7 linked regions of the Oryctolagus cuniculus genome follow. The protein of the gene in region 3 purifies or fractionates together with the protein of the main gene of each other region. This does not show direct contact. Links are inferred from orthologs where the notes say so. Each region holds a gene or a part of one and is shown on either strand. Other genes may lie near its edges. The genes, in order: HDAC1, BCL7C, SMARCE1, ARID2, BCL7B, CHD4 and BCL7A.

What was found.
Region 1: the proteins of SMARCE1 (region 3) and HDAC1 purify together in Homo sapiens (co-immunoprecipitation; 3 studies listed by BioGRID and IntAct, with this or other methods). This does not show direct contact. The link is inferred for Oryctolagus cuniculus from reciprocal best matches to the Homo sapiens genes SMARCE1 and HDAC1.
Region 2: the proteins of SMARCE1 (region 3) and BCL7C purify together in Homo sapiens (affinity purification with mass spectrometry; 5 studies listed by BioGRID and IntAct, counting the BioPlex papers as one, with this or other methods). This does not show direct contact. The link is inferred for Oryctolagus cuniculus from reciprocal best matches to the Homo sapiens genes SMARCE1 and BCL7C.
Region 4: the proteins of SMARCE1 (region 3) and ARID2 purify together in Homo sapiens (affinity purification with mass spectrometry; 7 studies listed by BioGRID and IntAct, counting the BioPlex papers as one, with this or other methods). This does not show direct contact. The link is inferred for Oryctolagus cuniculus from reciprocal best matches to the Homo sapiens genes SMARCE1 and ARID2.
Region 5: the proteins of SMARCE1 (region 3) and BCL7B purify together in Homo sapiens (affinity purification with mass spectrometry; 3 studies listed by BioGRID and IntAct, counting the BioPlex papers as one, with this or other methods). This does not show direct contact. The link is inferred for Oryctolagus cuniculus from reciprocal best matches to the Homo sapiens genes SMARCE1 and BCL7B.
Region 6: the proteins of SMARCE1 (region 3) and CHD4 purify together in Homo sapiens (affinity purification with western blotting; 3 studies listed by BioGRID, with this or other methods). This does not show direct contact. The link is inferred for Oryctolagus cuniculus from reciprocal best matches to the Homo sapiens genes SMARCE1 and CHD4.
Region 7: the proteins of SMARCE1 (region 3) and BCL7A purify together in Homo sapiens (affinity purification with mass spectrometry; 4 studies listed by BioGRID and IntAct, counting the BioPlex papers as one, with this or other methods). This does not show direct contact. The link is inferred for Oryctolagus cuniculus from reciprocal best matches to the Homo sapiens genes SMARCE1 and BCL7A.

Annotation. Positions count from the first base shown.
Region 1 is NC_091438.1:140,171,583-140,175,528, reverse strand, and holds part of HDAC1 (histone deacetylase 1), read left to right. Parts: intron 1-367; coding exon 368-480; intron 481-3,946. UniProt on the Homo sapiens protein: Histone deacetylase that catalyzes the deacetylation of lysine residues on the N-terminal part of the core histones (H2A, H2B, H3 and H4).
Region 2 is NC_091450.1:6,250,457-6,254,957, reverse strand, and holds the start of BCL7C (B-cell CLL/lymphoma 7 protein family member C), read right to left. Parts: upstream 3,125-4,501; 5' UTR 2,913-3,124; coding exon 2,821-2,912; intron 2,265-2,820; coding exon 2,186-2,264; intron 1,875-2,185; coding exon 1,766-1,874; intron 1,658-1,765; coding exon 1,496-1,657; exon of another isoform or gene 1,270-1,495; intron 1,180-1,269; exon of another isoform or gene 318-1,179; coding exon 232-317; exon of another isoform or gene 1-231. UniProt on the Homo sapiens protein: May play an anti-apoptotic role.
Region 3 is NC_091448.1:21,885,516-21,890,238, reverse strand, and holds the start of SMARCE1 (SWI/SNF-related matrix-associated actin-dependent regulator of chromatin subfamily E member 1), read right to left. Parts: upstream 2,948-4,723; 5' UTR 2,809-2,947; intron 1,113-2,808; 5' UTR 1,068-1,112; coding exon 1,061-1,067; intron 887-1,060; coding exon 843-886; intron 1-842. UniProt on the Homo sapiens protein: Involved in transcriptional activation and repression of select genes by chromatin remodeling (alteration of DNA-nucleosome topology).
Region 4 is NC_091440.1:136,658,186-136,661,190, reverse strand, and holds the end of ARID2 (AT-rich interactive domain-containing protein 2), read right to left. Parts: intron 2,411-3,005; coding exon 2,266-2,410; 3' UTR 853-2,265; downstream 1-852. UniProt on the Homo sapiens protein: Involved in transcriptional activation and repression of select genes by chromatin remodeling (alteration of DNA-nucleosome topology). Required for the stability of the SWI/SNF chromatin remodeling complex SWI/SNF-B (PBAF).
Region 5 is NC_091450.1:50,473,897-50,478,622, forward strand, and holds the start of BCL7B (B-cell CLL/lymphoma 7 protein family member B), read left to right. Parts: upstream 1-1,539; 5' UTR 1,540-1,688; coding exon 1,689-1,780; intron 1,781-4,726. UniProt on the Homo sapiens protein: Positive regulator of apoptosis. Plays a role in the Wnt signaling pathway, negatively regulating the expression of Wnt signaling components CTNNB1 and HMGA1.
Region 6 is NC_091440.1:102,918,526-102,922,471, reverse strand, and holds part of CHD4 (chromodomain-helicase-DNA-binding protein 4), read right to left. Parts: intron 3,382-3,946; coding exon 3,257-3,381; intron 2,971-3,256; coding exon 2,733-2,970; intron 2,597-2,732; coding exon 2,421-2,596; intron 1-2,420. UniProt on the Homo sapiens protein: ATP-dependent chromatin-remodeling factor that binds and distorts nucleosomal DNA. Acts as a component of the histone deacetylase NuRD complex which participates in the remodeling of chromatin.
Region 7 is NC_091452.1:7,051,003-7,054,948, forward strand, and holds part of BCL7A (B-cell CLL/lymphoma 7 protein family member A), read right to left. Parts: intron 1,645-3,946; coding exon 1,477-1,644; intron 1-1,476.

The sequences.
Region 1 (3,946 bases), on a different chromosome or scaffold from region 3:
GGTGACTTGTGGCTTATAATAATTCTGAGTAGTAATGGTTGTTTTTCTGTTGTGGGAGGGAATTCCTTGGAGGTATATTGAGGTGAATCACCTGACTGGCTGCTATTCTCCAGTAGCTAGGAATGAACCCTTCATGCTATCTTGAGCCTGTGGGCTCTAGAAGAAAATGGGCTAGCCTGATCTTTAAGTGCTGACCTCATCAGAGACCCCAGTTTGTTGTGTTTTTCTTTTAGAGTTACATTTCTTTTAGGTAGAGAGATAATCTTGGGCTCAAGAAATAACCCAGAAAGACAGATTGCTGTAAAAATTCCTGGGTTCTCCTGGGAGTATGTGTCTAACGGTCATCAGAACTCTCCCTGTTCTTCAGGTGATGTTGGGAATTACTACTATGGACAAGGCCATCCAATGAAGCCTCACCGGATCCGCATGACTCACAACTTGCTGCTCAACTATGGTCTCTACCGGAAAATGGAAATCTATGTGAGTTACTTACTGCGAGTGTTCCCCTCTGTTACCTCATCAGCTCTGGTCCCCCAAATGCCATTTACTATCTGATTTTCTAAACCATGCACTCATTAAGCAAATGTGGGCATTGGCCTATCAGTTAAGATGCTTGTGTTCCACTTCGGAGCACTTGTATTCAATTCCCAGCTGCAGGAGACCCCCATATAAATAAATCATACTGCAGTGTGTAAGAGCAACAGTTTAGAAAATGTGCAAGATGCAGAGATAATGAGGAAGGAAGGAGGAAAGGGGGCTTGAATTGATTCTAGGAAGTGATATATGAGAAATTTTAAAGATTGAATAGAATTTAGCCTGGAGGGGCTGGTGTTGTGTAGTGGGTAAAGCCACTCCCTGCCAAGCTGGCATCCCATATGGGTGCTGGTTCATGTCTTGGCTGCTCTACTTGTTTGTTTATTTATTTTTAAGATTTACTTATTTATTTGAAAGGTAGAGTTACAGAGACAGAGAGAGACAGAGACAGAGAGAGACAGAGAGAGGTCTTCTGTCTTTTGGATCACTCCCAAAATGGCTGCAATGGCTGGAGCTGGGCCAATCTGAAGCCAGAAGCCTGGAGCTTCTTCTGGGTCTCCCATGTGGTTTCAAGGGCCCAAGCACTTGGGTCTATCTTCTACTGCTTTCCAGGCCATAGCAGACAGATGGATTGAAAATGGAGCAGCCGGGACTTGAACCAGCATCCCATATGGATGCTGGCACTGCAGGCGGCAGCTTTACCTGCTATGCCACGGTGCCGGCCCCTGCTCCACTTCTGACCCAGCTCCCTGCTAATGTCCTGAGAAAAGCAGCTAAACATGGCCCAAGTGCTTGAGTCCCTGCCATCAAGTAGGAGACCCAGATGAAGCTCCTGGCTCCTGGCTTCAGCCTGGCCCAGCCCTGGCCATTGCAGCCATCTGGGGGGTGAACCAGCAGATGGAAGAGCTCTGACTTTGAAATAAATAAATAAATCTTACAAAAAATTATCCTTGAGTTCAGGAGGGGACTGGTAGGGGGAAGAATATATGCAGTATATGCATATGCATATTATATATGCAAAAAGGCTGAGGTATTTGAGGAAAAATCCGTTTTTTTTTTTTTTTTTTTTGTTTTGTTTTTTTTGACAGGCAGAGTGGACAGTGAGAGAGAGAGACAGAGAGAAAGGTCTTCCTTTGCCGTTGGTTCACCCTCCAATGGCCGCCGCGGCCAGCGCGATGTGGCCGGCGCACCGTGCTGATCCGATGGCAGGAGCCAGGAGCCAGGTGCTTTTCCTGGTCTCCCATGGGGTGCAGGGCCCAAGCACCTGGGCCATCCTCCACTGCACTCCCGGGCCACAGCAGAGGGCTGGCCTGGAAGAGGGGCAACCGGGACAGAATCCGGCGCCCCAACCGGGACTAGAACCCGGTGTGCCGGCGCCGCTAGGCGGAGGATTAGCCTAGTGAGCCGCGGCGCCGGCCGAAAAATCCGTTTTTATGTGTAGGGATACAATGTGAATTCACAGACGTGAGGCAGGGCGTAGAGCTGGAGAGGTCAGCCAGCGTTGGATGTGCTGTGCTAAACCACTCTTGTAGGCCAGGGTCGGAAATCCAGTGGCTAAAAAAGGAGTGACTGGGGATCGTGTTGGACAAGTTGCCAAGTCTGTGGTTACGAGAGAGTGTAGGCTTCTGTCTAACCACCAGTCTCAGCTCCACTTGATTCTACCTGGTCTTCCAGATTTTAAGAAGCTGGAAATCCAAATTAGTATGCAAAACCTCCTCGGTTTAAAATGTTGGCACAGGGTTTTTGTTTTAAATGTTTGTATATAAAACACATCAATACACGTGCGGACCAAATGTGGTTCGGTGGTTCCCAATTTAATCTGTTCTGGAGGTGGTGGGGGAAAAGTGAAAGGTTTTAAATAAAAGATATAAGAATAGATAGGCATGTATTTTACAAGCAGGTAGGCCACTTAGGAGCCTGTTGCTAGAGTCCAAGTGAGAAAATAAAGAGGGGCTGGGGGCCCATGTTGCTTTATGGCGTGGTGCCTGCTGTTAAAGGCTGTACTGACAGTTTGAGTAACCTAGCAACAGCAGCATCCTTCTCACCATTCCAGAGACTGAAAGGAGATGAGTCTTCTGTCCCAGATGGCTTTGTCGTGTCTCTGGAGCTGGTGGAGCCAACTGGGGAAGGTAGACAGGGCGAGCAGACCTTGGGACCACAGTGCTTTATCAGGTGTGAAGAACAGGTGGGGAAGAAAGCATACAAGGCAGCAGAGGTTTTCAGGAACTCTGGGGAGCCGCCTAGCTCTTTCTATCAAGGAGAAAAACTCCCCAGGAGCTTCCCAATACACTCCCCCTTACCTCCCATCATCTCATTCCTGAGACCACTCACCAGTGTAGACGGATAGAATTACCAGAGCTGGCCTAGGCTAATCATGATTCTATTCCTAGGGCTGGGTACATTTTGTTACCAAGGAAGAAGGAACAGGATGGCTCTTTGGGAAGCAACCAGTAGTAACTTCCTTATGGGAGGTGAATTTCCCTGTGGTGTTCTTATAAACTTTTTTTTTTTTTTAAGATTTATTCATTTATTTGAAAGACAGAAAGGCAGAGTTATGGACAGAGAGAGGGAGAGACAGAGAGAGAGAGAGATCTTCTATCCATTGGTTTACCTCCGAATGGCTGCAACAGCGTAGCTAAGCCAGTCTGAAGCCAGGAGCCAAGAGCTTCTTCCTGGTCTCCCACATGGGTGCAGGGGCCCAAACACTTGGGCTACCCATCCTGCTTTCCCAAGCGCATTAGCTGGGAGCTGGATCAGAAGTGGATTGAGGCCGGCGCTGCGGCTCACTAGGCTAATCCTCCACCTGCGGCACCAGTACCCTGGGTTCTGTCCTCGGTTGCTCCTCTTCCAGTCCAGCTCTCTGCTGTGGCCCAGGAGTGCAGGGGAGGATGGCCCAAGTGCTTGGGCCCTGCACCCACATGGGAGACCAGGAAGAAGCACCTGGCTCCTGGCTTTGGATCGGCGCAGCACGCCGGCCATAACGGCCATTTGGGGAGTAACCAACAGAAGGAAGACCTTTCTCTTTGTCTCTCTCTCACTGTCTAACTGCCTGTCAAAAAAAAAAAAAAAAAAAAAGTGGATTGAACTGGCGCCCATATGGGATGACGGCTCCACAGACAGCAGCTTTACCCACTGTGCCATGGTGCCAGCCCCTATCATAAACTTTTAAAGGAAAAACCTAGTATCATCTCTCTTCCCTAATGCTAGACCTGTTGTCTTTCTCCCCCCCCCCTTTTTTTTTTATGATTTACTTATTTATTTGAAAGTCAGAGTTACAAAGAGGCAGAGACAGAGAAAGAGGTCTTCCATCCGCTGGTTCACTCCCCAGATGGCTGCAACAATGGCCAGAGCTGGGCCTATCTGAAGCCAGGAGCCAGGAGCTTCTTCTTCAGGATCTCCAACATGGGTGCAG
Region 2 (4,501 bases), on a different chromosome or scaffold from region 3:
TTGCTTATTGGTTTGTTCGTTTGTTTGGTTCAGGCTTTTCATGGTCTGAGGTCGGCCCTGATCCAGCCCTCAGGAAGCTGTCTCTGAAACACCCTTTTCTTTTCTGTCCCCAAGAACCCGGCCGCTAAGGCCCTGGCTGGGTGCTGGGTCCACACCTCCCGCCCGGACCGCACCCGCGCCGGTGCCACGTTCCCTCGAGACCCGGGAGTGCAGCCTTGCGGCCTCTCTCACCTCAGCCTCCAGCAGCTCTGGAACCGGCTCCTCCTTGGTCAGCATGGGGGGTTCGTCCGTGCTGCCTGCAGTTATGCCCCCGGGATCTGGAATGTCAAGTGAACAGTCATTCCCTGAGCAGCCACTCTGTGCCCAGAGGTCAGACTGGGAGAAATGCACGCACGTGCGCGCGCGCACACACACACACAGGCAGCTGGACAGAGAGAAAGGGGCCCAGGACCTGGCTGAAGTCCCAGCCCCAGACTGAAGCAGGAACACTTATGCAGGATCTGCAAAGCGGTGTAGCTTTACCAAGAAAAACACACTTCAGACAAAGGGAACGCAGGGTAGTGAGCACAGGTCCTGGAGTTCAGCGGCCGCCTTCAGATCCTGGCCTTGGGCCGGCTCCTTCCGTCTCTTGGGGCCTCTCCTTAGCCATCCATAACATGGGGCCAGGGGTCGCAGTTGGTGCATGACTCTCGGGAGGAGGAGGCGAGGTAGTACAGCTCAAAGTGTTTGGCACCCAGCACGTGCGCCAGAAATGCCAGTTACTGCTTCTCTATTAGCACAGGTGTCCAGGCTCAGCCCCTAGGCCCAAGCCGTGGCTTTGGTGGCGGGCAGGGCACGGCGCACAGGGGGCCCTCAGCGTCCAGCTCAGGGGGCAGAAGGAGCCACAGCAGGAAAATGAGCCCCACCCGGCCCCCCGCTTCAGGCAGAGCTGTGCTACAGCTGCGGGGCGGCTGGAGCCAGGCTGTGGCCTGGGGAGGCCACGCTGGGCGGGGGTGAACTGGAAGAAAGAGGAGCTGAGGAGCCTCAACCTGAAGACGCTGTGTGAGCTCGGGCGACCGACTTAACCTTGCTGATCTGCCTCCTCAGCTACAAACAGGAAGCAGGGCAGGCTAACCCCTCCGAGGCGGCGAGTCAATGAGATAAAACAGAACAGAGTGTTTGGAAGGCACCTGGCACGCAGTAAGAGCTCAATCAATAGCGCCCGTGAGTAGCTTCGTCTTTTAGTCACTCGACAAACATTGATTGAGCACCTATTATGCGTCCCACTAGACTTGGAGGATGCCGTGAACAAGATCGGGGAGGGCCCGACCTCCAGGAAGCCGACACGAGACGGGGCAGGAAGACAGTATGTGAGCAGCAACTGAAATTGATAGGGAAATGCCAGAGGAGACGGCAGGGGCGGGCACTGTTTCCACGGGGCTCATGGGAGAGGGGCAGGTAGCGGGGTGAGCTGCTGGGCGCAGAGAAGGGGGCTCTGGGTGGCACCTGATCCTACCTCTCTCTTGGCCCAGCCGTGGGGGCTGAGCCTCCTCAGGGACCCCTTCCGGGGCTCCGGCGGGTGACACAGGGCGGCTGGGCTGTGGGGTGCCCCCGGGGCTGGGCTCGGTACCCTTGTGCAGGGAGCCTTCCGAGTGGAAGCTCTGGTTGCTGTTCTCATCTGCAGAAACAAGAGCCCAGAGGGTCGGCCTGAGGCCCCCAGGCCCCTCCTCCAGGTCCCACAGCCACCCCTCCCCGCCCCCGGCAATGCCTGGGCCCCCACACATACCATTGAGATCTAGCAGGATGAGCGGGCCGCCCCCTCGGGGACTGGCACCCCTGCCTCGCCGCTCTCGGCCACGGGATCGCTCTGCCCCGCCACCTGCCCGCCGCCGCTCCTGGGGGTGACAGGGATGAGGATCAGAGCCAGCGTTTCCCGGCAGCCCTGGCAGAGCCCCACGGGGACAAACGGGGAAACTGAGGCACAGAGAAACCCAAGGCCCAGCCAGAGGTGACAGAGGCTGTGCGTGCTGGGTTAGCCTTGCAGGGGGGGGGTCTGGAGCAGGAAAGGGGGAGGGGGAGGGGCAGCCGAGTAATCCTGAACATCTGGGCTGCGGTAGGCACTGGAGGTGGAGGCCAGGGTGGGGAGGAGCTGGGCTGAGACTGCACAGATGCAGGGTCTTGGGGGGTGGGGGGTGGGCTTGCTCACCTCCTCCTGGGGGTCCACCACCGGCACCCACTTGAAGATGCGAAGGGAAGTGTCGCCCACAGTCACCCAACGCTTCTCCCTGTGGGAGGGTGGGGTGCTGGGTCAGAGAGGCCTGAGGGGAGAGGCGCCCCCCCCCCCCGCGCGCACCCGCCTGACCCGCCGCCTCCGCCTCTGCCCCAGGTACCACATCTGCAAGGTGGGGGAGGTGCACGAGGGTTGGGGCGGTTTTGCGAATGAGGCACTGTTGGAGAGAGCGAGCCCAGGGCAAAGATGGGGAGGGGGCGCCCCGGGCACGCCTCGGGGCCATGGCTAGGGCAGAACCCCTCCGGAGGGAGGGGGCCATCCCTGGGGACGCAGCTCGGAGCCCGGGCCATACTTGCAGGAGTGTCAGAGCTTCAGGGGGCGGGGCACGGACGAGGGCTCCCGCCCGGCGAAGGCACGGCTGGGGACCACGCTTTGTAGACCTCCGGGGGTAGCCCGGGGAAGGGAGACGGAGCCCTGGGGATCCCGCGCACAGCTGGTGGCCGGGGGCGCACCTAACACCTGGGGGGCGCAGCTGGCGAGGGGAGGGGAGGCGCGCGAGGGGGCGGTGGTCCCCGCCAGGGTCCCGGCCCCGGCCGCGGGGCAGCGCTCACCATCGCCGGACTTTCTCGATGGTCGCCATCACCTTCTTGATGTCATCCTTGGCCCGGCTCCGGGTCTCAGCCCGTACGGTCCGGCCGGCCATGCTGGCGGCGCTGGGGCCGGGGCCGAGCCCGCGGCGGGGCTGCCTCCCGTCCGGCGGGCTCAGGCTCGGCGCCAGGCCGGGGCGCCGCTCTCGCCGCCCGCCGTCCCCTCCGGGAGTTGGCCGCGCCCTCCCTCGCTCCCCAACGCCTCCGCGAGTCCCCGCCCCGCTTCCTGCCGCCGCGCCCCGCCCCGGCCCGTCCCCGGAGCGGCCGGGCGGCGCGGGTGCCGGAGCCCAGGCCTGGAAGCCGGGCCAGCCCCGCCCCGCCCCGGGCCCGCCCCTTCGGGGGCGCCCGGACGCGCAGCGCCCCCTGTCCGCCGCCGAGAGCGAGCGAGAGTTGGGGGCCCGCTGGCTCGGCGACTTGGACGCGCGCGGCTCCGCCGAGGCGGCGCGTCCAGACCACGTGGGCGCTCGGGTGCACGAGAGGGTCTGGGTGCAGGTGTGCGAACCTGAGACACCGTGTGTGTGTCCCCGGACACCCCCTCCTCCCTCGCCGGGCTGGCTGATTCTACGCTGCCCAACTTAATTCGTTCACCCATTCATTCATTCAACGATCTAGCAGCCCAGTGCCAATTACGCGCCACAGCTGCACACATGAGTGAGTCTCCACCCCCCAGGATGGCTATAGCGAGAACGACAGGCCATACCGAGTGTGGGCGGGCCAGCGGAGCCGCGCGGCCTCCCTTCTGTTTCTGGGGGAGTGGGAATTGGTAGAGACTTTCCCATGAAGCTGAACAAAGACCAGCCCAGGAATCCAGCACGTCAGCACCCAGCAGAAATGCTTAGACAGGAGCACCAAGAGCCGTGAGCTGGGATGTTCACAGCCGCGTTCTTAACAGCCCCGAACCGTAAACGGCTTACCAAGAGGAGACTGGGAAGTGGGTTGCAGCTATTGATACCCAAGACAGAGACCCAGCGGGCAAGAATGCCCGCTGTCCCACTACACCCAGCGACGGGACAAGTCTCCCTCAGCAGATCTTGAGTTTAAGCCAGATACACCACCTGGTTCTATTTCTATGAAGTTCGAAAGCAGATAGGAAAATGTCAGGATTAGGAAGCCGGGAGGGTGTCTCTTTCGGGACTGGGAGGGGTCCCAGAGGGGCTTCTGGGAACCCATCATGTCTGTTTCCTAATGTGGCCCGGGCTCCCTGGGCAAAGTTCCTCTGAAAATTCATCAAGCTGGGCGCTGGGGATGTGTGCGTTTCTCCATCTGTGTTTTGCAGTTGACTCAGAAGTTTCCTTGCAGAAAATGATTGGTTGATTCGAAGGCTCCTTTATCAGCAGATCTGATCGTGTCTAAATCGGTGCAGCTGTGTGTGGCTGTCCTGTCTCTGACCCTGTCCAGAGGGGTTACAGGATTGGGAAGACAGCCTTGACAGCATTTCAGGAGCTGGCCCGCCATGGTAAACATCCCGGGTCAGCCACACCCCGTTACGTGAACTCGGACAAGCCACTTATATCTACTTCCTCAACTAAAACTTGGCAGTAACTTAATATGCACTTAGAACAGTGGTCAGCACGTAGTAAAAGACCTCAATAAAAATTTACTGTTGGGGTCGGCACTGTGGTGCAGCGGGGTTAAGCCTCCGCCT
Region 3 (4,723 bases):
AGTAGCCTGGCCTGCAATTTAGGTAGTAGGGTGTGAAGGAAGGGCTACCAGCTATTACAGAAGTGCTTCTGCAGAATATGGTCATGTTAACAGTGTTTTTTAAAACACAGACAACCCCCTCCCCCCTAAAAAACTCCACAAGGAAGCCATTTCAGGGAGGCCTAACAGTTGCTGTGGAATCTGTTTCATGGGTTGGGCAACTATTTTACATGCTGACCAAGCTGGGTCAGAGCTTGCTGGGTGAAGAAGCCGGTTCACCGCTATCAGGCAGATACTTTGAAACATTCTCAATTCCCAAGCCAATCAAATCTAATTACAGCGTGGAGTCAAATTTCATAGCAAAATCTGACCCACAGATAATGAAATCCTCACTTGAACAGCTTGAAAATAAAGATTTACAATGAGTGTAGTTATAGAAGTAGGAGCTTTGTTTGATTTAATATGGAAATTTTATATATAGAGACAAGAAAGGAGAGAAAAATGTAACCAGCTGAAGGTTAGGTTTAAAAAAAAAAAAGCCAGAATGAGCACTCACTCAATATCAACTTAAAGACTCTGAGAAAGAAGTGTTAAACTTGTTAACTATTTCCCATTAAGAAAAAAAAAAAATAAAACAAGTAAATTCAGCATAGGAGGTAGGAATTTCATAGTATGTTTCTTTAAATGTTGGGGCTGGTTCAAGATCAGAGGCAAAGAGTTATTTTATTTAGAAGGAAGTCTGTTTTTTAGCTGAATTTTCATCCTGTTACTGTGATGATTGAGTGACTGTCACTGGAAGACATCTGGGTTTTTGTATCAAGGCCAGACTCGGCTATTACATTAACAAGAAAATTAAAACTTACTGTTGCAGGAGCTGGGGTGGGAGGTGGGGCATAAGATGGTCTTTCTGTTTGAAAGAAAATAAATAACTTCTTGTAAACAACTGAGATATAATACTATGCAACAAAACTACCAATGGTCCTGTTTTGAAGAAAAAAATGAGAGTATTTTGGAATTCCCACTTGCTAGGGCATTAGTCTCTTATTAACATAGATTGATAAATATAAAAATTGAAACTTACTTGACATTTTGGAAGATTAAGTTCTCAGTTCCTTAAGAATGAATCTGAGACACTAAAATAAAAAAAAGGAAAAAAAGGAAAAAAAAAGAGAATCAAAACTCAGCAAGCATGAGAATGTTTCCCTAAAGAGGGCAGTTTGATTGGTACTTTTGAGTAAAACTACATTATCTCTCAGTACTCAAGCCTTGCGCGTATTTTACTAGTCCTTGTAGGTCATCTGGGTCATCAGAATTAAATGACTCGAGTAAGTTCCTGGGATATTTAAGTATCAGAAATATACTCTCAGGTTCTGTCCTAAGCTGCCCCACCTCTCGCACGGTGAACACTTGGTAATTGGGAAGGCAGTGGTCACACACTGTGCTGTGCCACCTGTCCACACCAACAAGGCCTGCTGGATGCTGCCAGCGCCCGGTCAGTTCCACCTGGCTTCTGGTCTAGCAACCTCTGTTCGAACAGGGCAGCTCTGTATTCCCGAAGGCAGCGGAAAAGGTAACAGGTATACTAAATGCGTTTCACATTCTTTTAAAGCGGCAGATAGCTTCGGACTCGCTGGAAATACATTGAATTCACTGTTCCCTCATCTGCACTCCCATGCAGAGCTAGGATACTGCTTACTGTAGCTTTTCAAAACATCTGCCAATATGGCTGGACTGGGTGCTGCTCTCGTCACCGTATCCCAGTCTCTAGTGCGATTCCTGATAGACGTTGTCCTAGGGTTCCCTGCTCACAGTAGGGCCAGAGCTTGTCCTTCACATCAACAGTCCCGAGGGGTTTAAAAAAAAAATCCGTGTTTTGGAAAGAAGACAAACTCCTATCCTGGAGCGCCTTCATCCAGCCTCACGGGAGATAAGCAGGAGCTACCTGCAGCACCAGGGTGCAGGTCGGAGCCCAGGGTGCTTTCCCCCTCTGCCTTTAAAGCCCGGCGGGAACCTCTGACTTTGTTGCAAATTTCCTTGCTGCTCAGCCGGCGAGCTGTCAGCATCCAGGAGGCCTTGCGGTGTGGAGCCCTGACGGGACAGCCAGCAGCTCCCTGCACTGGGCGCTTCACGCTAAGATACACTCACAGACACTGCTCGCCCCCGGCGGAACGCAGGCTCTCAGAGCGGGCCAGGGCCCCTGTGCACCCCCTGACGCCCTCCCTGCGGCCTGGCCCTACACAGACGCTCGGCAAGCATTTGTGGAATAAGGCAGGACAGGCTTAGGAGAGCAACCCTGCTGTCCCATTTTACAGATCAGAAAGGGGAGTCTTGCAGACTTCAAAGTAACTCTTCGAAACCACGCCGCTAGGAAGCGGCAGGAGCTGGGGTCCGCACCCAGGCCAAGTCCGCTCACGCCAAGCCGGCCCCGCGGGTCCTCGGGGCCAGGGCCCCGGGCCGGGGGTCCCTTCCGGGGCTGAGGGCCCTGGGCTCGCCTCGCCCCTCAGGGCTGCCTCGGAGGTCGCTTCCTCCACGCCTGCCGCGGGGGATGCACTTTACCAGTAATTCCCCCAAACCGGGGTATGCGTGGGCGCCCTGACCGGGTTCGGGGTGGCCGGAAGGGGCCATCCTGCCCCTGAGGAGGGCCCCCCGTGAGGACTCCCTCCCCACGCGCGCTCCGCTAGGCCTCAAGGAGGCCTCACCGGCTCTCGGCTCCGGCCCCGCAGCCAAGCCTGACCCCCAGCAACCCCCGGGGACCCGGGGTCCCGCCGAACGGAGGCACCGCGACCTGCCACCCTCCAGACCAGGTCGGACCCACTAGGAAACACTCACCCGCGGGCAGAAAAAGCGCCCGCAGCTCCGGCTTCGCTTCCCTTTGTCCCGCGCACGCCCCGCCCCTCACGTCCGGAGCTTCCGCGCTCGCACTTTCCACACTTTTTCTCAATTTCTTCTCAGGCCCCACCGACTGTCTTCGGAAAAAAAATAAACCCGCTCCCGAGGACGCGGCGACGCTTAGTACAGCCAAGGATTTTTTTCCAGGCCCCGTACGTTCCACAAAGCTCCTTGGATTTGGATGCTTTCCCAGTCGGGCGCCGATTCGTCACGGCGAGGAAGGCGGAGGTGGCCCGATCGCGATAGGCCCGGTTCCCGCGGCGGTGAGGGGTCCGAGCGGCGGCGGCGGCGGGAGGTGCCGAGCCCTGCCCGAGGGCGTGGTGGCGAGGCCCGCGGCCTCGGCTTCCGCGCGTGAGGCCGGGAGACGCAGGAGCCGCTGCAGGGGGAGGCCGCGCGCGCCTCGGGCTCCGGCCGCGGCCGCCCCCGCGGGACCCCCGGCGCCGGGTCTCCCGCTTCCCCTCGCGTCGCTGGGCGGCAGGACGAGTGTTCCCCGTGCTTCTCAGAGCGGACGACGCGGGCGCGGAGGACTCGGCCTGGAGGGAAGCAGCACGGGCTTTGGCTGGCCACAGGTTTCCGAGCGAGGGCCCTGGTGTGGCCTTGCAGCGCCGAGGGTGCCTGCTGCTGGGCTCTGCCCCAGATCCGCCTTCGCCGGCTGCGTAGACTCCTGTGCCGTTTGGGATGCAGCTCAGCCGTGCCCTCGGGAGGCCCTCTTGCAGTGCCCCCCCCCCCCCCCCCAACAATCCTTCCCTTGTACCCCCAGGCCTTTCCATCTGGCCCTTAGGAAGGTGTGTCAGCTTTGCAGTGCCGGTCACCGCTGAGGGTCTGGAGCCCAGCTCGATGCCCGTGACATGGGCACCGCGGCAGCCCTCTGGCCTGCTCCAGCCAGGGCCCTTACCCCCCAAGTCGTTGGGGCTCTTTGCTCACCGTCTGGAGTGAGTGGCCCCTTCCTGGGCTGTGAACACCCTTGGGTACTGTCGTAGGCCCCTGGTGGGAGAATGAACAAATGGACACCCCCCGAATGGTACTCACTTGGGCACGGGGTGGGCCTTATTCTTAGCCGCCCTTAGCGCCCCTCTGGGACGAGCCAGCAGGAACAGGGGCCTATGGGGGCGTCCCTGCAGAGCTGGGGACAGCTGATACCGGGGCTTCCCCTGCGAATAGGAGAGAGTGCAATTCAGGAGCCTAATGGGGGAGCGCCTGAAGGGAGAGGGGCTTGAGGGGCGGCTGTGGAATTGCTTTTCCAATATGAAAGCATTAAAGGATGGGAGGAAGACACGGGGGACGGCCTGGGCGGGGGTCCCAGGACCTGTTCTGGTTTGACCTCTGCCTTTGGGGTTCTGGGCGGGGCCTCTGAATTAAAGCTGCAGTGTTGGCTGCCGGGGACCCAGGGACCATGCACCCTGCCAAGGGGTGGGGGTGGGATGGCACACAGATGGAGGGGCTCTGAGTGGAGCAGATGCTGGCACGCTTTCTCACCTGGGTGCTACTCCACGGTCACCTTCCTAGGTCTCTCCGACCCACTTGAAGTTCCCACCCCTCCTCTGCCCCCACTCTCTGTGCCTTTTATTCTCAATAGCACCTGGCACCCCCTAACATACCGTTCATTTTCTGTACTTATTTTGTTTGCTGTCTGTTTCTTCCCACAGCGTGAATACTTCTTCAGTGTGGGGACTTCTGACATCTGTGGCCGTGTGTGGTACATTTGGGTGCTAATATTTATGGAATAAAGAAGCGAATGACTCACTTTGCTACCTTAGTTCTTCTCTCTTCCTAAAATTGCTGAACAAGTAGGAAACGGATAACGTAGGCAAAAGATAATTAAAAAAAAAAAAATCTCTTCTTCCCTAGTCCTGCA
Region 4 (3,005 bases), on a different chromosome or scaffold from region 3:
CATTTAGAAAGTTCTCTGCTGAGACCAACGCTTCAAGGGACTACAGATGTAATTTACACATTACAGCACAAAAGCTGGAGCTACAGCGTGCAGTTCAGTGAGGTGGAAGATGGTGACTATGAAAATCATTTTGTCTAAGCTTGGAGGAGCCTTTGCTCTTTGCTGATTTAACTACGGTTGCAGTTTCTTATTTTGGAAATAAAGAGACAAACATTGATAGGACACAAAATTACTTCAGAAAAATCAAGAATTTTTGGATAGTAAGTGACTAGGAAGCCCCCCCACCCCACCCCCCACCTGATGTCAGTGCAAGCCTCACAGTGCCGGGAGATAATCCTGACTGATGTTGCGTGAGGTTTCTCAAAGCGATCATTTTAGAACTGGCAGGGTGCAGTGCCAGGAACCCCCTTCAGGGAGAAATCAGAGTATTCGATATCAATCGAATCCAAAATTTAAAAATTTGCATGTCCTTTCACTCAAAGAATCTGCCCCCATACTCAGTTTGAAGATTTGTTTTATACTGTGGTTCTGAAGAAACACAGTATCAATAAGATTTCAGGCAAGTGTGCAGTATCCAATAATTTATAAAAAGCGCATATTCAGCACTAACGGCACCACTCAGGCTATTATTTGGGTTTGCTTTGCATTACAGGACACAGAAATCAACCTCAGGGCCATCTCCCATGTATTTCATGCAAATGTGTCATGTAGAGGACCTCCCTCCTCTGCTCCCTAACACTCAACAGAAACAATAGGTAGGTGACCGTTTGGGCCTCGCCTTCAGCTCAACTTAGGATTCTTTATAGGTTTTTAAAAAATAGCTTAGCATACTCAGAAATGAAGGACTCAAGAAAATGTTCAGTCTTTTATTTAAAAACTATAAACAGTCACCAAAGTAAATAAAGCCATTCTATAACAGAAACTGTTAGGTCTATATTTTTTTTAACTGCACATCCTAAGGACACAGCAGAAATCGTGGTTGGGAGGCCTTCCACATTTTTGGATGCTAATAGAACAGGCAATAGGCAGTTATAAATGGGTACATTTCACGCTGGGAGGGAGAAAGACAATTTGGGGAAGTGAGCAGTATCTGAGCAGGAATGTGGTACAGTATTAAGAATGGAGAATTAGACAATAAACCCCACCTCTAGGAAGATAGAAAAGGAGTGGAGAAAGTGTACTGCACAGAATGCATTTACAGCACAGGAGAGCGCCTGTATAAAATCCCATGTATTCAAACCAATTTACAAATACAAAAATTTCTGTCCAAGCTCTGAGCTTAAACATGACAAACGCTTACAGTGGATACATGTTAGGGAAAAACCAAAAAATACCTTCAAAGAGTTTTTCTTCTACAAAAATGACATGAGATATATTACTCCATACTCTTTTCAGCCAGCAAAATGAGTTCTACAAGGTGTATAATACAAAAAGAAAAAAAAATCACAGTCCCACAAAACTGTCTGACTTTACAGCATCAGTACCTTGCAGAAGTATTTACAAAGATTGAAGAACATTCGTCCACTGCGCAGAATATATCACAATTACTTACAATTGACAGAAGTCTAGAAAACGTGAGAACCTATCGGTAATGCTTCTAGGACACCACAGAATGTATCTCCAGTGGCTGCAGCGGCATGAAAGGTGTTCCTTCTATTCACAAATATTTACAAGATCTATTCAGACTGGTAAATTTTTATGATAATAAATAAGTGAAAATATATTGGCTCAAGTAAGAAAACCAAGCTACTGATTTCTAAACAAAACACACAATCCATAGCTAGATATTGGTGGCCCCCTCTGAGACCAGGGGGTATAAGTGTGCTGAAACTTTTTAATTATTCAAACCAGCTTAAACTGTTTAGTAAATATAAAAATGTGCTCCTTTTTGGATATAGATAAAAATATTTAATGCTTCTATTTCATCTGCTCGTGAAGATTTTACAAGATCCCATGTCTACTCCAATGTGGATGGTACTGAATTCTGATCATACCGGTTCCCATCAGGACTTCAGGTCTGAGAGGCATCCTGCAGATGAGCTGATTGACAATCCCACAGCAGTTTTTTTCTTTTTAGATTTTTTTCAAACAGAGAACAAAAGGGATTCGCTCAAAGATCAGAATACGAACTTCCTCTCAACATCAAGGGAGGAGATAAAATAATTCATTCCATGGTCTCTGTTCCATTAAGACTTGGTGCTTTCTTCAGTAACAGTGTGTGAAATGTATCTGACTTGCAGTCCCCACTCGAAGTGGAATTCTGTTTCACTGCAGCATTTCTGAGTCTTGTTCTTGTTCTTTGCTCTGAACTGTGAAGTTCAGTTCATAAAGGCATTTGGCAAGGGTGGAGGAAGCTTCCATGTTACTTATAGCAAGTACTGACAGGTTGTTTTCATGTCTCTTTAGTAATCTGGAAAGAAATACAGAAAGTCATCAGTCTCAAGGTAACAGTGAAGATTCCTGATCCAAAGTTTTACGAGTTTAGGAGCTAGAACAGAAACTGCTTAGCTGCACACCCAGGCCACATCAGTGCAGCATAAAGGAAGTGGCCAGGGCCCCTCAGCGTCTTCCCCGTGCTGCCTTCCCATCTAAGGAAGCCTGCACGGCATCCCTGTCTTCATTCATGCTTTCGGAAGATTCATGTGACAGAGAACAGCTGGAGAGGAATAAAATCAAAGTTCACACCACGGGCCGAGTTTCACAGGATGAAAAGTGACTCCATCTAGCTTGACTTACTCCATTACAGCAGCTGCTTTCTAAAAATGCAGAACCACAGATGTTCCCGGTCCCCGAATCGCAACACTCACGTGCTTTGTCACAGAGATGAGAGATTACAGAAGTGAGTGTGTGACCTTGCGAAGAAGGAGTGACACTGAGCTCACACACGTTGTGAAAAGCAGACAGGATTGGCAGGGTGGAGCAAGTCTGATTGAGCTCATGTTATAAGAACATGAACGGCATAAGCAAGGAGACAGATACATGGATTTTAACTACAAAATGATTTC
Region 5 (4,726 bases), on a different chromosome or scaffold from region 3:
TTGGCTGTTGGACTCGGGGCCTGAATTGGGGGCCCTGTGAGTCAAATTGTGGAATTGTCGAGAGCCAGCATCGCTCGTGGCACTTGTTCTGTCTTGGGTTTCCCTGCTGCCTTCCTCATCTTCACCCCAAGGGCAAGCAGTGTGTCTGCCTCACTCAATGTGTCCACTGCTGTAGGGCAAACAGCAGGTGCACCAGCGGTGCTTGGGTTATTGTGCATGAGCTGGGTTTCAGAAACAGATGTGTCCTCTTTGTGATCCTATTATTTCTCAACTCATTCTCCCCCCCCACCACCACCAAAGTCAAGCAGAAGCTGTTCCTGGTGCCCCCCCCCCCCAATACAGAAGGGCGTGTGCTTGTCAAGTCTTGGTACTGGTCAGATGGGCACAGTCCCAGGCTCTGTTGTGTCCAAAGTTCGCTGGGCCTTTCTCTCCCTAGAGAGAAATCTCCCTAGAGAACTGCTTCCTGCCGTCCCCAGGAGCTGCGGCCACAGGACCCTCCCTCCATCCCGTGGGCACGAATGCGTGACTGCTGGCAGGTGGGTGGGGGCAGTGTTTAGAGAGTCTGTAGGCAGTGAGGCCTTGAGGCATTAGCGACTGCCCTGTTTGCAGAGATCAGCTTCAAGGGCACTTTTTCTAGGTCACTTTGTTGTCTCTTTTAACCTAGTGTTCATCAAATGGCATCTTAAATACTTGTTTCCTGGTCTGCATGTTCTACTGAACTCCAAGCTCTTTGAAAGCAAAAACACATCGTGGGTGGTGTTCCGGGGCAGCGGGCTAAGCTGCCTGAGATGCCCACACCCCGGTCCGACTGCCTGGGGCACTCCTGGGATGCACAAGCTGGGAGGATGGCTCAGAATTTGGGCCTCTGCCACAACCGCGGGAGACCTGGATTGAGTTCCCGGCTCTGGGAGTCAACCTGGCCCAGCCCTGGGAGTTGCAGGCGTTAGGGGGAAAGAGAACCAGTGAATGGAGGATCTCTCTCTCCCTTTTCTGTGTCTTTCAAATCTTGAAAAAACAAAACCAAAACCTCCCAAGGCATCATCGCTGAAACCAGTGACCGCTGCATTAAATGGTGGCAGTGGAATCGTGCTAAGAACGAACACGGGGACCCTAGGGTACCCCGGGAGGCTGGAGTTTGAACCGGATTCTGGAAGAGCGAGCAGCCAGTTCCTCGGGTGAGCACCAAGAACAGCAGGCACACCCCAGACAGGTGTCAAACTCCCCGCCGTTGGAGCCCAGTGGGAGTCCTGGGGGGGGGGGGGCGGACACTCAGGTCCCACCGGGGCCAGGCTCCCAGCTTCTCTGGACGCAGTGCAAGGGCGCGGACCTTCAATGCCCCTGGGCAGAAGCGGACACCCCGCCCACTGTACCGGCAGCGCCTCGCACCTTGCCCTGCCCGCAGCACGTGCAGCCTGCTCGGCGCGCCCAGGCCCGGGGCACCCATGCCCGGGGGTCGGGAGGGCCGCCCGGGGCGGGGCGCGCAGGCGCGCTGAGGGCTCGCGTCCCAAGGGGCGGGCGGGTGCGCGCGCCTCCTCGCGCACGCGCGCACGGAGGGGGCGACGGCCGCGGTGACGCTGCGGCTTCGGCGGCGGTGGCGGTGGCGGTGGCGGCGGCGCGTGTGAGGCGCGCGCGATTCTCCGCGCGTCTTGGGAGCAGTGCCCCGGCCCCCCGCCGCTCCCGCCGCCGCCATGTCGGGCCGGTCGGTCAGGGCCGAGACCCGCAGCCGGGCCAAGGACGACATCAAGAAGGTGATGGCGGCCATCGAGAAAGTGCGGAAATGGTGAGGGCGGGAGCCGAGGGTGCCCGCGCGCGCGCGCGCGCGTGTGTTGCGGGCCCAGGCCCCGAGGAGCGCCAGTCCGGCAGGCTGGGTGGGAGCCGGCCGGCCGGCTCCGGAGGGGGAGGGGGAGGGAGAGGGCGGGCGGAGGGCGCGCCGGCGTCGGCGTGAGGTCAGAGGGCAGCGCCGACCGGGGCCAATCAGCGGGCCGCCCGGCTGGCTGCCCCGCCCACTGCCGCGGTCGCGCGCGGCCCGGGGATGGCTGCGGACTTCGGGCCGGCGCTGGGCCTGCGGGTCCTGGCTCAGAGTCCCGGGCTGGTGCCGCTGCTGCTGTCTCCCCGTGCTGTCCTCCCCCTGATTAGGAGCCAGCCATCCCCCGAGTGGCTTCGGTCGGCCCGGCTGAGCGCTCCACATAACACAGTCGAAATCTGAGAGTTCTCCCGGTAATTCCACCTGCCGCGGGAGCAGGCGTGGTGGTCATCGGAAAGGAAACCTGCCTCTTTCCCCTAACGCCCCCTGAAGTCGCAGGTGAAGCTCCGGAAGCTCCCGGAGCCTGTTCCTCTAGCTAGCCAGCAGTAGGTAGGAGCCCGGGGGCTCCCGTGTGGGCCTGGCTATGCGTTCCCCTCCCCGCAGGCCGGAAGGGCCTTCTCGCTCGCTCTCCGTTGGCTTCCGGTCACCGCGCCGAAAGCCAGAAGTGTCCGCTGGGACGGCTAGCGCTGACTGAGTTGTCCAGGTCCGCTTGCGGCTGGAATGCGGGCCCTGGGAGGGAAGGGGCCGTGCGTCTCGTTCCCTGCCTTCCTAGACGAGGGTCTTCGATACTGAATACGTGGTCAGCAGATGAGGAAACGGAGCGGACCGGTCGGGAACCGGTGCCCCCTGAGCCTTTTTTAGCTCGTTGTTTCCAGTCCATCGTCACCTCTCTGCATTTCCTGATGGCATTATTTGCTTCATAGCAGCTGTGACAGTAGTGACTTTTATGTGTTTATTTAGTATAAACTTCAGATTTGGCCTTGAAACTTTGCAAAGCGGTTCAGGTCCGCGAGACATCAGCTCCCTGCATTTGGTTCTTGCTCGGGCTGACAGCAAGTACTAAGCAGTCTTAGAGAAGTAACTTCTTTCTTTTTTTAAAATTAATTACATTATTTGATGGGCAGAGTTAGAGAGAGAGAGAGGTCTTCCATCCCTGGTTCACTCCCCAATTGGCCGCAACAGCCGGAGCTGCGCCGATCTGAAGCCAGGAGCTTCTTCCAGGTCTCCCACGCGGGTTCCGGGGTCCAAGCACTTGGGCCATCTTCCACTGCTTTCCCAGACCACAGCAGAGAGCTGGCTCAGAATTGGAGCAGCCGGGACTCGAACCGGCGCCCATACGGGATGCCAGTGCTGCAGGCTGGGGCTTTACCCTCTACGCCACAGCGCCAGCCCCGAGAGGCAACTTCTTGGAAAGCCAGCTCCCACCTGCACACACACTGGCTGGCAGCCCTTCAGAGCAGGTCGAGCGTGTTGCTCTGTGTTGAGTTTAGGACGGGCCTGATTTCCTTTCGCTGGGTCTAGCTCATGTTGTCAGGCCCTCGTGGTCTTGAGCAAGCCCTTGGCCTGGTCTTGAGCCGTTGCTTGTTTTGTGAGTGATGAGGATTTCTCCAGAGCTTTGAACTTGAAGGTTGAAATCTGAACATTTCTTCAGATTAGCTGTCTCCTTAGGCAGTCTTGGTAAGGCAGAACAGCAAGGGATCCCAAGGCCGGGTCCACGCCTGCCGCTCCCACCCAGCAGAGAGAGTGTGTGTGTGTGTGTGTGTCTGTGTCTGTCTGTCTGTGTGTGTCCCCCGTGGTCCTTTCTCCCTTGGAGGAATCTTTATATGGAAGCAGAACAGGGCAGCCAGTCCATGACCAGAGTGACTTAAGAGATTAACACTAAAATGACCAGAACCTTCTTTTTAAATTTTTGCTTTAATTAAAAAAATTTGCCCTAAGTTTATTTCTGCTTGTCTATATGTTTAGTGGTAATGGAATAATAGGGATTTTTGAAGATGTGCTACATAGTTTGTTATCTTTACTGAGATTCTAATTTGGTAAATAAGCTGATGAGACAAAAACATTATCAGAGGCACACATGTGACATCATTTAATAAGGAGCATGCAAGAAGGGGCCTGTGCCTACAGAGAGCTTAGAATTGCTGTTTTGAGTGCCTTATTTTATTTTTTTAAAACGATTCTTTCTGAGCTTTCTGTTCTTTCTTTCTTTTTTTTTTTTTTTTTTTAAGATTTATTTTATTTATTTGAAAGGCTGAGTTACAGAGAGGCAGAGAGAGAGAGAGAGAGAGAGGTCTTCCATCTGCTTATTCACTCCCCAGGTGGCCCAGATGCATGCAATGGCTGGTGCTGTGATGATCCGGAGCCAGGAGCTTCCTTCAGGTCTCCCACACAGGTGCAGGGGCCCAAGCACTTGGGCTGTCTTCTACTGCTTTCCCAGGCCATAGCAGAGAGCTGGATCGGAAGTGGAGCAGCCAGGACTTGAACTGGTGCCCATATGGGATGCCGGCACTGCAGGCAGCAGCTTTACCCATTATGCCACAGTGCTGGCCCTGCCTATTTTGTTTTTTTAGTGTTAAGACTTGTTAGAGAATGGACTCCTGCCCACTGGTTCACAACCCAAATGCCCACAGTGGCCAGGCCTGGGCCGGGCAGAAACCGGGAGCTGAACGCAGTCTGGTCCCCCACATGGGTGGCAGTGCCCGTTACCACAGCCAGGGTCTGCATAGGTGCCAGCCAGAGCCAGGGACTGGCCGAGGTGCGCTGATGGGGCTGCAGGCGTCTCAGCCGCCGTGCTGAAACCCGCCGACGGCCTCCGGTCACGGTTTGATCCATAAACGGTTTCTGGGAGATGAGCTCGGCAGTTGGTTGATGGTTGCAGGGCTTTTCCCCGGGCTTCAGGGAAGGTTCCAGGCCAAATGAGTC
Region 6 (3,946 bases), on a different chromosome or scaffold from region 3:
TCCAAAGGATGAGAAAAGATGTCAGAGATAACCAAATACCTCTTTCTGCCAATTCAAAGAACCCCAAGTTCAATGGTTTAACGGAGACCAGAGGAGAAAGCAAACTTTATTTTTCAATAAATATTTTAAATATTTATTTATTTGAGAGGCAAAGGGAGAGACAGAGGGAGAGAGAAGAGATTAGCCATCTGCTGGTTCACTCACCAGTGCCCACAACCAGACCAGGCTGAAACCAGGAGCCAAGATCTCCATATGGGTCTCCCACACCAGTGGTCAGGACACAAGTACTTGGATCATCTTCTGCTGCCTCCCAGCACATTAAAAGGAGCTGAATCAGAAACAGTGCAGCCAGGACTCAGCTGGCACTCTGCTGTGGGATGGCGGTATTGCAAGGGGCCGCTTATCCTGCTGCACCACAACGGCAGCCCCTCATTCTTCACTGTAATACTCTATCATTTATGGAGGGAAAAGATCACCACCTGTGCATTGTTTCTTGGTTTTTACTAAAAAAGACCAAGAAATGGAAAAGAAGTTTAAAAAAAAAAAAAAGAGAGAGATTCTACTCTTTCAAACAAATAAGGGGAGCGGTAGTGTCTGAGGCACTGGGTAGGGAAGCTTGGGCACCCAGGCACAGTATCACAGCACCTGGTTTGAGTGCTGGCTCCTCCGCTTCACATGCAGCTTCCTGCTAATCCAGTCCCTGGGAGGCAGCAGGTGACAGCTCAACACATCAAGATCTCCCCCAACGGGGGAGATGTGGATTGAGTGATGGGCTCCTGGCTTCAGACAGGTCCAACCCTGACTGTTGCAGACATTTGGGAATGATGAGGGCTCTGTCTGTCTGTCTCTGTCTCTCTGCCTTTCAGATAAACAAACACTGGAGAACACTGCGGCAGAGCAGGTTAACGCATCACCTATGATGCCAGCATCCCATATAGGAGTGCTGGTTTCAATCTCTCTTGCTCTGCTTTCAATCCAGGTTGCCTGTAATGTGCCTAAAAAGGCAGCGGAAGATGGCAGCAGTGCTTGGACCCTGCCACCCATGTGAGAGACCAAGATGAGATTCCTGGCATCTGGCTTTTACTTGGCCCAGATCTGGCTGTTGCAGCCATTTGGGGAATAAATTAGCTAAGGAAGATCTCTGTCTCCCTCTGTCATGCTGGGGACCAGCAGGTTCATCTGCTGCGCGTGACACCAGCATCCTTTATCAGAGCACCACAGCACCAGTTTAAGTCCTGGCTGCTCTGCTTCCAATCCAGCTTCCTGCTAATGAACCTGGAAAAGCAGCAGCAGATGGCCCAAGTATCTGAGCCCCTGCCACCCACGCGGGAGACCCAAGACGGAGTTCCTGGCTCCGGACCCAGCAAATGCAACCATTTGGGGAATGAACCAGTGGACAGAAGCTCTGTCTCTCCCTCTCTTTCAAATAAACAACTCTTTAAAAACTAGCAAATCAAAATAAAATAAAAAACCCACAATAAGATATTACCTAGGTATATATCTTACCTCTTCCTTTTGTTCCAAAGAGACTTGAGGTAGTATTTGAAACACTTTTTTTAAAAAAACAGAGTAATAGAATGCTTAAGAAAAAATGAAATTCTGGGGTTGGCACTGTGGCACAGTAGGTTAAGCCTCTGCCTGAAGTGTCAGCATCCCATATGGGCACCGGTTCTAGTCCTGGCTGCTCCTCTTCTGATCCAGCTCTCTACTTTGCCCTGGGAAAGCAGAGATGGCCCAACTGCTTGGGCCCCTGTACCCAAGTGGGAGACACAGAAGAACCTCCTGGCTCTAGCTCCTGATGGGCCCAACTCCAGCCATTGCTGTCATTTGGGGAGTGAACCAGTGAACGCAAATCGGTCTCTAACTCTGCCTCTCAAATAAATAAAATCTTAAAAAAAAAAAAAAAAATGAGATTCTGGAGAAGAGCCAATGTAACTGTTCTGAGTGTGAAATCTGGCTGTCAATTTCCTGAGAGCCAAGCCACAGATACTGCTGCAGCACACCTGTCCCCACCCCAAGGCACAAATGATGCATTTCCAGGCCCAACCCAGGACGTGGCTGCGCAGCCCCTCGTTCCTGAGTGGTGCCTGACACCAGCGCCCTCAGAAGCGCTGGCAGCACCTCCTGCCACCAACCACAGCACGCGGTGGGCTCTCCCAGCTGGCTCTCCCAGATGCTGAGAACCTCGCTTTTGCACACGGGCTGACACCATGCTCCACCTCACAGACGTTCTTGAGCTACTTCACTTCACTGATACAAAACTTCCTTTAACATAAAGTCTCTGTTTTCAAAGGAAAAGGTATACCAATTCACACGTGAATTTGCATGTAGGTATTTTCCTCATCTCGAGTACCGTCCTGGACTCAGTCCAACTTCCAGACCAGTCACCAAGCCCGGCACTGCCCTGGACTCGTACTCACCCCCATCTCTTCTTCCCGCACCACATACTGGGCCACTTTGAATGAGCTCAGATATTCATTCATGCCCTGCAACTCTGTGTCTTCCGTCTCATCCTGGTTGCGGTCCAGCAGTCGCTCAATGGCCTTATCATCATAGTGGATAACACTGCTATCTTCTCCTTCTTTGTTGTCTCCTCCTGTAAGAATCAGGGCCGTAACCCCCAAGTCAGCTTCAGCAGCTGCCGTGGAAAAAGCAGGTCCCATGGGAGACCCTCGGCATCAGACACTCCCATCCCTTAGAGGCTGAAATTCAAGTTCGTCTGACCAGCTCACCTCCATCTGTGGCTTCGTCCTTAAACAGTTCCTCAGTGCCAAATTTGAGGATATCATCAAGCTCCTGCTTGGACATGGATCCAGTCTTGGAGCCCAGCCCAGGCCGCACCACAAGATGCGTCAGCATCATCTTCTTCTTTGCCACCTGCGTGATGCGCTCCTCCACTGACGCTCGGGTCACAAATCGGTAGATCATCACCTTCTTATTTTGTCCAATGCGGTGCGCGCGGCTGAAAGCCTGGAGATGAGCAGGAAACAAAGCCAGAGACCTATTTTCCTGCTGCCACATTTGCCTTCATGTGAAACTTCCTTTCACACTCCTGCCCCCAGACACTGCCCTCTATTATCATGTTGCCCAAAATAGGGCCATAGCTAACCCAAGTCTCTAGCTCACAGTAGCGTAAATGACATAAAAAGAATCTGGTATTTCTCACTTAAACAACTAATTCCAGCTGTGGAGTCCTCACAAAGAATCCAGCATTTCCAGCAAGTTAATGCATGCCACTGCTGTGGCCTCTGCTCACCTGGATATCATTATGAGGGTTCCAGTCAGAGTCATAGATGATAACTGTGTCTGCAGTGGCCAGGTTGATTCCAAGGCCCCCGGCTCGAGTGGAAAGCAAGAAGCAGAACTGCTGAGCACCCGGTGCTAAAAAAAAGAACAACAACAACAACAAAAGGATGAGAAACGTGTCCAAATTTCAATTAATGAAAGTAGAAGGAAGTCAGAAACACAAAACTTCATTAGTCAAATACCACAGGAACAATGGTTGCAAGCAAGGTCCACCAGTGGACACTGAAATCCATGTGCAAGTTCAAGAAACTGAGTATAAGCATAGTCTCTACCATCTCAAGACACTTATCACTTGCAACGGAAAGAAGAGGAACTTGTTAAACAGCACCTTAACCAACTGTCATCCAATAATGAGACGTAAGAACATGGTGTCCATCCCCCAAACACAGCATCACTTTCGCAGCCCTCTTGCCTTAATCTAATCAAGAGAAGCCATCAGACAAAACCAAATTAGAGATATTCTACAAAACAAGTGACCAGCATTCACAAGCATTACATCAGGTTGTTGCATAAAGGTTAAGGTGCTGCTCTGGGCTGCCCACATCCCTTCTCAGACTGCCTGGGTTCAAGTCTTGGCTCTGCTCCAGCTCCCAGCGTCCTGCTAATGCACACCCTGGAAGTAACCGATGACAGCTCAAGC
Region 7 (3,946 bases), on a different chromosome or scaffold from region 3:
CTGAGGCAAAGCCGTTAGGATACTGGTTCCCACCCGGCTACAATCCTTTCAGAGACGGAGCAATGTCTAGAAAAATGTTGGGGTCACACCCAGGGGTAAGGGGTCTTCCAGCGACCAGGGACACTGCCCAACAGCCTGCGACGCACAGCACGGGCCCCATGCAGACTCGACCCGATGGGCAGAGCCAGGGCTGAGCGCCCCTGCCCCAGGGTGAAGCTGTTCTCCCCGAGGACTCCCTGGAGGATGAGCCACAGGCCCTGACTCTGCAGCTCCACCCTGACCTGGGCAAAGACACAGAGACGTGGGTGAGGCTCCCCGAGGGACCCTGTGTGTGGGAAACGCCCCACGACCATCCGTGGGGCCGCCTGAATGAGCTAGTGAATTGGGAGAGGCTGCTAAGGGGGCTCCATGGCGACCACTTCCACAAGAGCTGGTTTATTCTCATTTACACGATTCTGGGTACTTGGGCTCTCTCCTCTGAGGCAGGGGGAGAGGTCTCGGGGGGCCTGGGGTGGGGGACAAGACCCCCCCCAACACACACACACCTGCCCAGGAGCCAACCCAGCAGTACAAACCCTCCTCACAGGTTTGGGAAGGGGCGGCCACCTTGACAGCCAGAGACCCCTGCCGCGGGGCCACAACCCGTTCACCCCTAGGCAGGGCCCGGGGTGCGGGCCACACTTTCCCCAGGCCAGCCAGAGGGGCGATCGCTGGCCCTGCAGACCAGGGAGGCTTTCAGTCCCTGGTGTCTGCAGCCTCCTCTCCCCACACTCCTTGCACCTGTCACACTTCTGCCCGGGACGCCATCCCCTTCTTAACACCTGCTCTGCCCCCAAGCCCAGGCAGACAGCATTTCCTCCACTTGGTCTGCATGGAGAGCCCCGGGCTCCTTTCTTTTTTCTCTGCATCTGTCATAGCAGTGACTGGGAATTCAAGTCCCCTCAGGGATCAGGCAACGTCATAAGTGGGTCAAGTGTGCTTCACAAAGCAAGTCTAAAGAAACACCGCGGGGCCGGCGCTGCGGCGGGGCAGGAGTCACGGGGCCGCACCCCACATGGGCGCCAGCTCCAGTGCGGGCTGCTCCACTTCCGATCCAGCTCCCTGCTAGGCTTGGGAAAGCGGCGGAAGACGGTCCAGGAGCTTGGCCCCTGCACCCTGTGGGAGACCAGGGCGGAGTTCCTGGCTACACTTCGGCCGGGCCCAGCGCTGGCCGCTGCGGCCATTTGGGGAGTGAACCAGCGGATGCAAGACCTCTCTCTCTTTCAAAATAAATAAATAAATAAATAAATCTTAAAAGTACAAAACAAAACTGCTACTCCGCAAGGCCGGCCACAGCGCGCGCTGTTTCCACGCTCCATGAGAACACAGGCGCCATGTCCCCTCTGTCACCTTCCGGGGCGGCCCCCTTCCCCATACGCCCCCTGATTGGCCGCGCGCCAACTGGAGGCGGTGCCCCGAGCCCCGCCACGCCCCTACCTTCAGTCCCCGGATGCTCCTTCCCGTCGGCTTGCGCCTCGTCCGCCTTGGCTTCGGGGCCGTCCCCCGGCACGGCGGAGCTGGGCTCTGGGGCCGGGCTCGAGTTGCTGCTGTTCTCCTGCTTGATGGGGGAGGCGTCCGCAATGGAGCTCTGGTTGCTGTTGTCGTCTGTGTGAGGGGAACAAAGCCACAGGATGAGACCCTGCGGCGGCTCCCGGTGGCCGGAGGCCGGGAGCCCCGCAGGACAGCTGACCCCACGGGGACCGCCCCATGGGTCCTCCTTAGGAGAGGCTGCGTCGACGGCAGCCGCCTGCCTTCGCTGGCCTAACACGTTCAAACGCTTCCGGGGATGCTGGGCCAAGACCCCGGGCACCTGGCGCGGGAACGTGGTTCCACGGAGCCCCAGGGCTGATGTCCGGGGTGGGCAGCCGCGTGGCCACCTCTTCCACGCCGCAGGAGGCAGGGGAGCAGCAGGGTGGGCTGCTGCCCGAGAAGGAAACCAGAGACGGAGAGGACCCTGCTCTGACCGTGCCAGCCGTGACACGTGTTGGAACAACTGGGGAATTTGAATAGGGTCTGGATTTCAGCAGCTATTTAGGAATTATTGTCAGTTCCAGGTGATGCTGGCGCAGTGGGTGGCCATTTTTTAGTTTCCTTGTGAAGATTTATTTATTTATTTATTTGAAAGGTAGAGTTAGAGAGGGAGATCTTGCTTCCACTAGTACAGCCCCCAAATGGCCGCAACTGCCAGGGCTGGGCCAGGCCAAAGCCTGGAGCCTGAAACTCCACCTGGGTCTCCCATATGACTGCAGAGGCCCAAGGACTTGCGCCAACTTCTGCTGCTTTCCCAGGCACATTCGCAGGGAGCTGGATTGGAATTAGAGCAGCCAGATCCCATATGGGATGCCAGCATCTCAGGTGGCAGCTTAACCGGCTACGCCACAGTGGTGACCCCAGAATGGTGTTTTTTAGCAATGCAGGTTTTAGTGTTTAGGGACAGACTTCAATATCATAATACAGGGAAATTTCTTTAAAACGCCTCAGGCACAGGTTGCAAACAACCGTCAGAACCCCCTGAACTTCACACTCAAGAGCTATGGATTCTTCTAGGTAAATTCCACTCCTGTGAAAAACCTTAGCACATTAAAAGGAAAAAAGGAGGCAAACAGAGCGCCCTGTTTCATGAAAACCCAGGTGGTGGGCATCTGGGGCTCTGTCCCACTCTCTCTCTCTGCCACTCTTTACACAAGTTTTCATAATAAATGGAGGAGAGGGAGGAAAGCTAACGTGGTAGCAGCATTGGTGCTGGCAGGGCTGGGGTGCAGGGGACCCCACCCCATGTCCTGCAGTACACAGGGTCACTTCAGACTGCAGAGCCAAGTCAAGATTTCAAAAATAACACCGCAATCTGACGCTGACTTTCTGGGCCATGCTGCACCTGGGAACAAAGCAATTTTTGTAAAAGTGAGCGAGAAAGCCAGACAGCCCAGCAGGCACCAGGCGCGAGCATCTACAGTAACTCCATCGGACCTTCCCAAAAAACCACCGGGAATGCTCACACATTCACTTTACAGACGGGTAGACGGAGGCCGGGCTGCTCGGCTCCCCACCTGATGAAGCACAGGCAGCCACGCGTCCTTCCTGATGAATCTGGTCTTATTTTAAGCAGTCTAGGGGAGTGCTGGTTACACAAAAGCATCCTCTTGTGAATTCAGGGGCTTAAAAAAAAATGCAGGCTCCTGATCTTCCCTAAGAAAATCTGAACTTCTCTCCTACTCAAGACAGGCGTGTGCGCGTGTAAGCAGCTCAGCCGCTGGGCTCCAGCCTGGGGCGGTGTTAATTAGTGACAGCAAGCCCTAATGTGTAACGAGTTGGCTGCCTGAGTGCAGCCTGGTAACCAGGTAACAGGTGACCCCACTGGAGCCGCAGACCAACAAGCGGAAGGCGGAGCCTGCTCCCCGCTCCTCACCTCCGGCTGTGCCCGTCCTCTACCTGTGCCGACCCACACCCCCTTCGTGCGCAGATGCTCTGTGCCGACCCACACCCGCTTCGTGCGCAGACGCTCTGTGGGACTCGGTTCTGGCTGCACCTGCTCTAAACAGGAAAGGTAAACATGGCCGCTGTGCCCGGGCACTTGGTACGTTCGGCGTTTTCAGTTTTTCTGCAGCGCTGAGCCCTGGCTACTGGTCAGAAAACCTGGATTCCATCCTCCCAGAGCCTCAAATACGAGCACTGGCACCAGAAGTCCCATCGTCCTCACTGGACAGGTCACTCCCCTTTCTAAGCCTGAGTGACTTTGTTGTGGGAGTCAAAGGAGACAATGCAAGAGGAGCATCCCCACGGTGCCTGGCACCCTGAGGCAGCGCTGCACACACCCGCTGTCGGCGTGCCCCGGCTGTTGAGGAACCGGCCTATTTTATCCTCAGATGACTTCATGCAGGAGGCATTACTGTCCGCACTCTACAGGTGG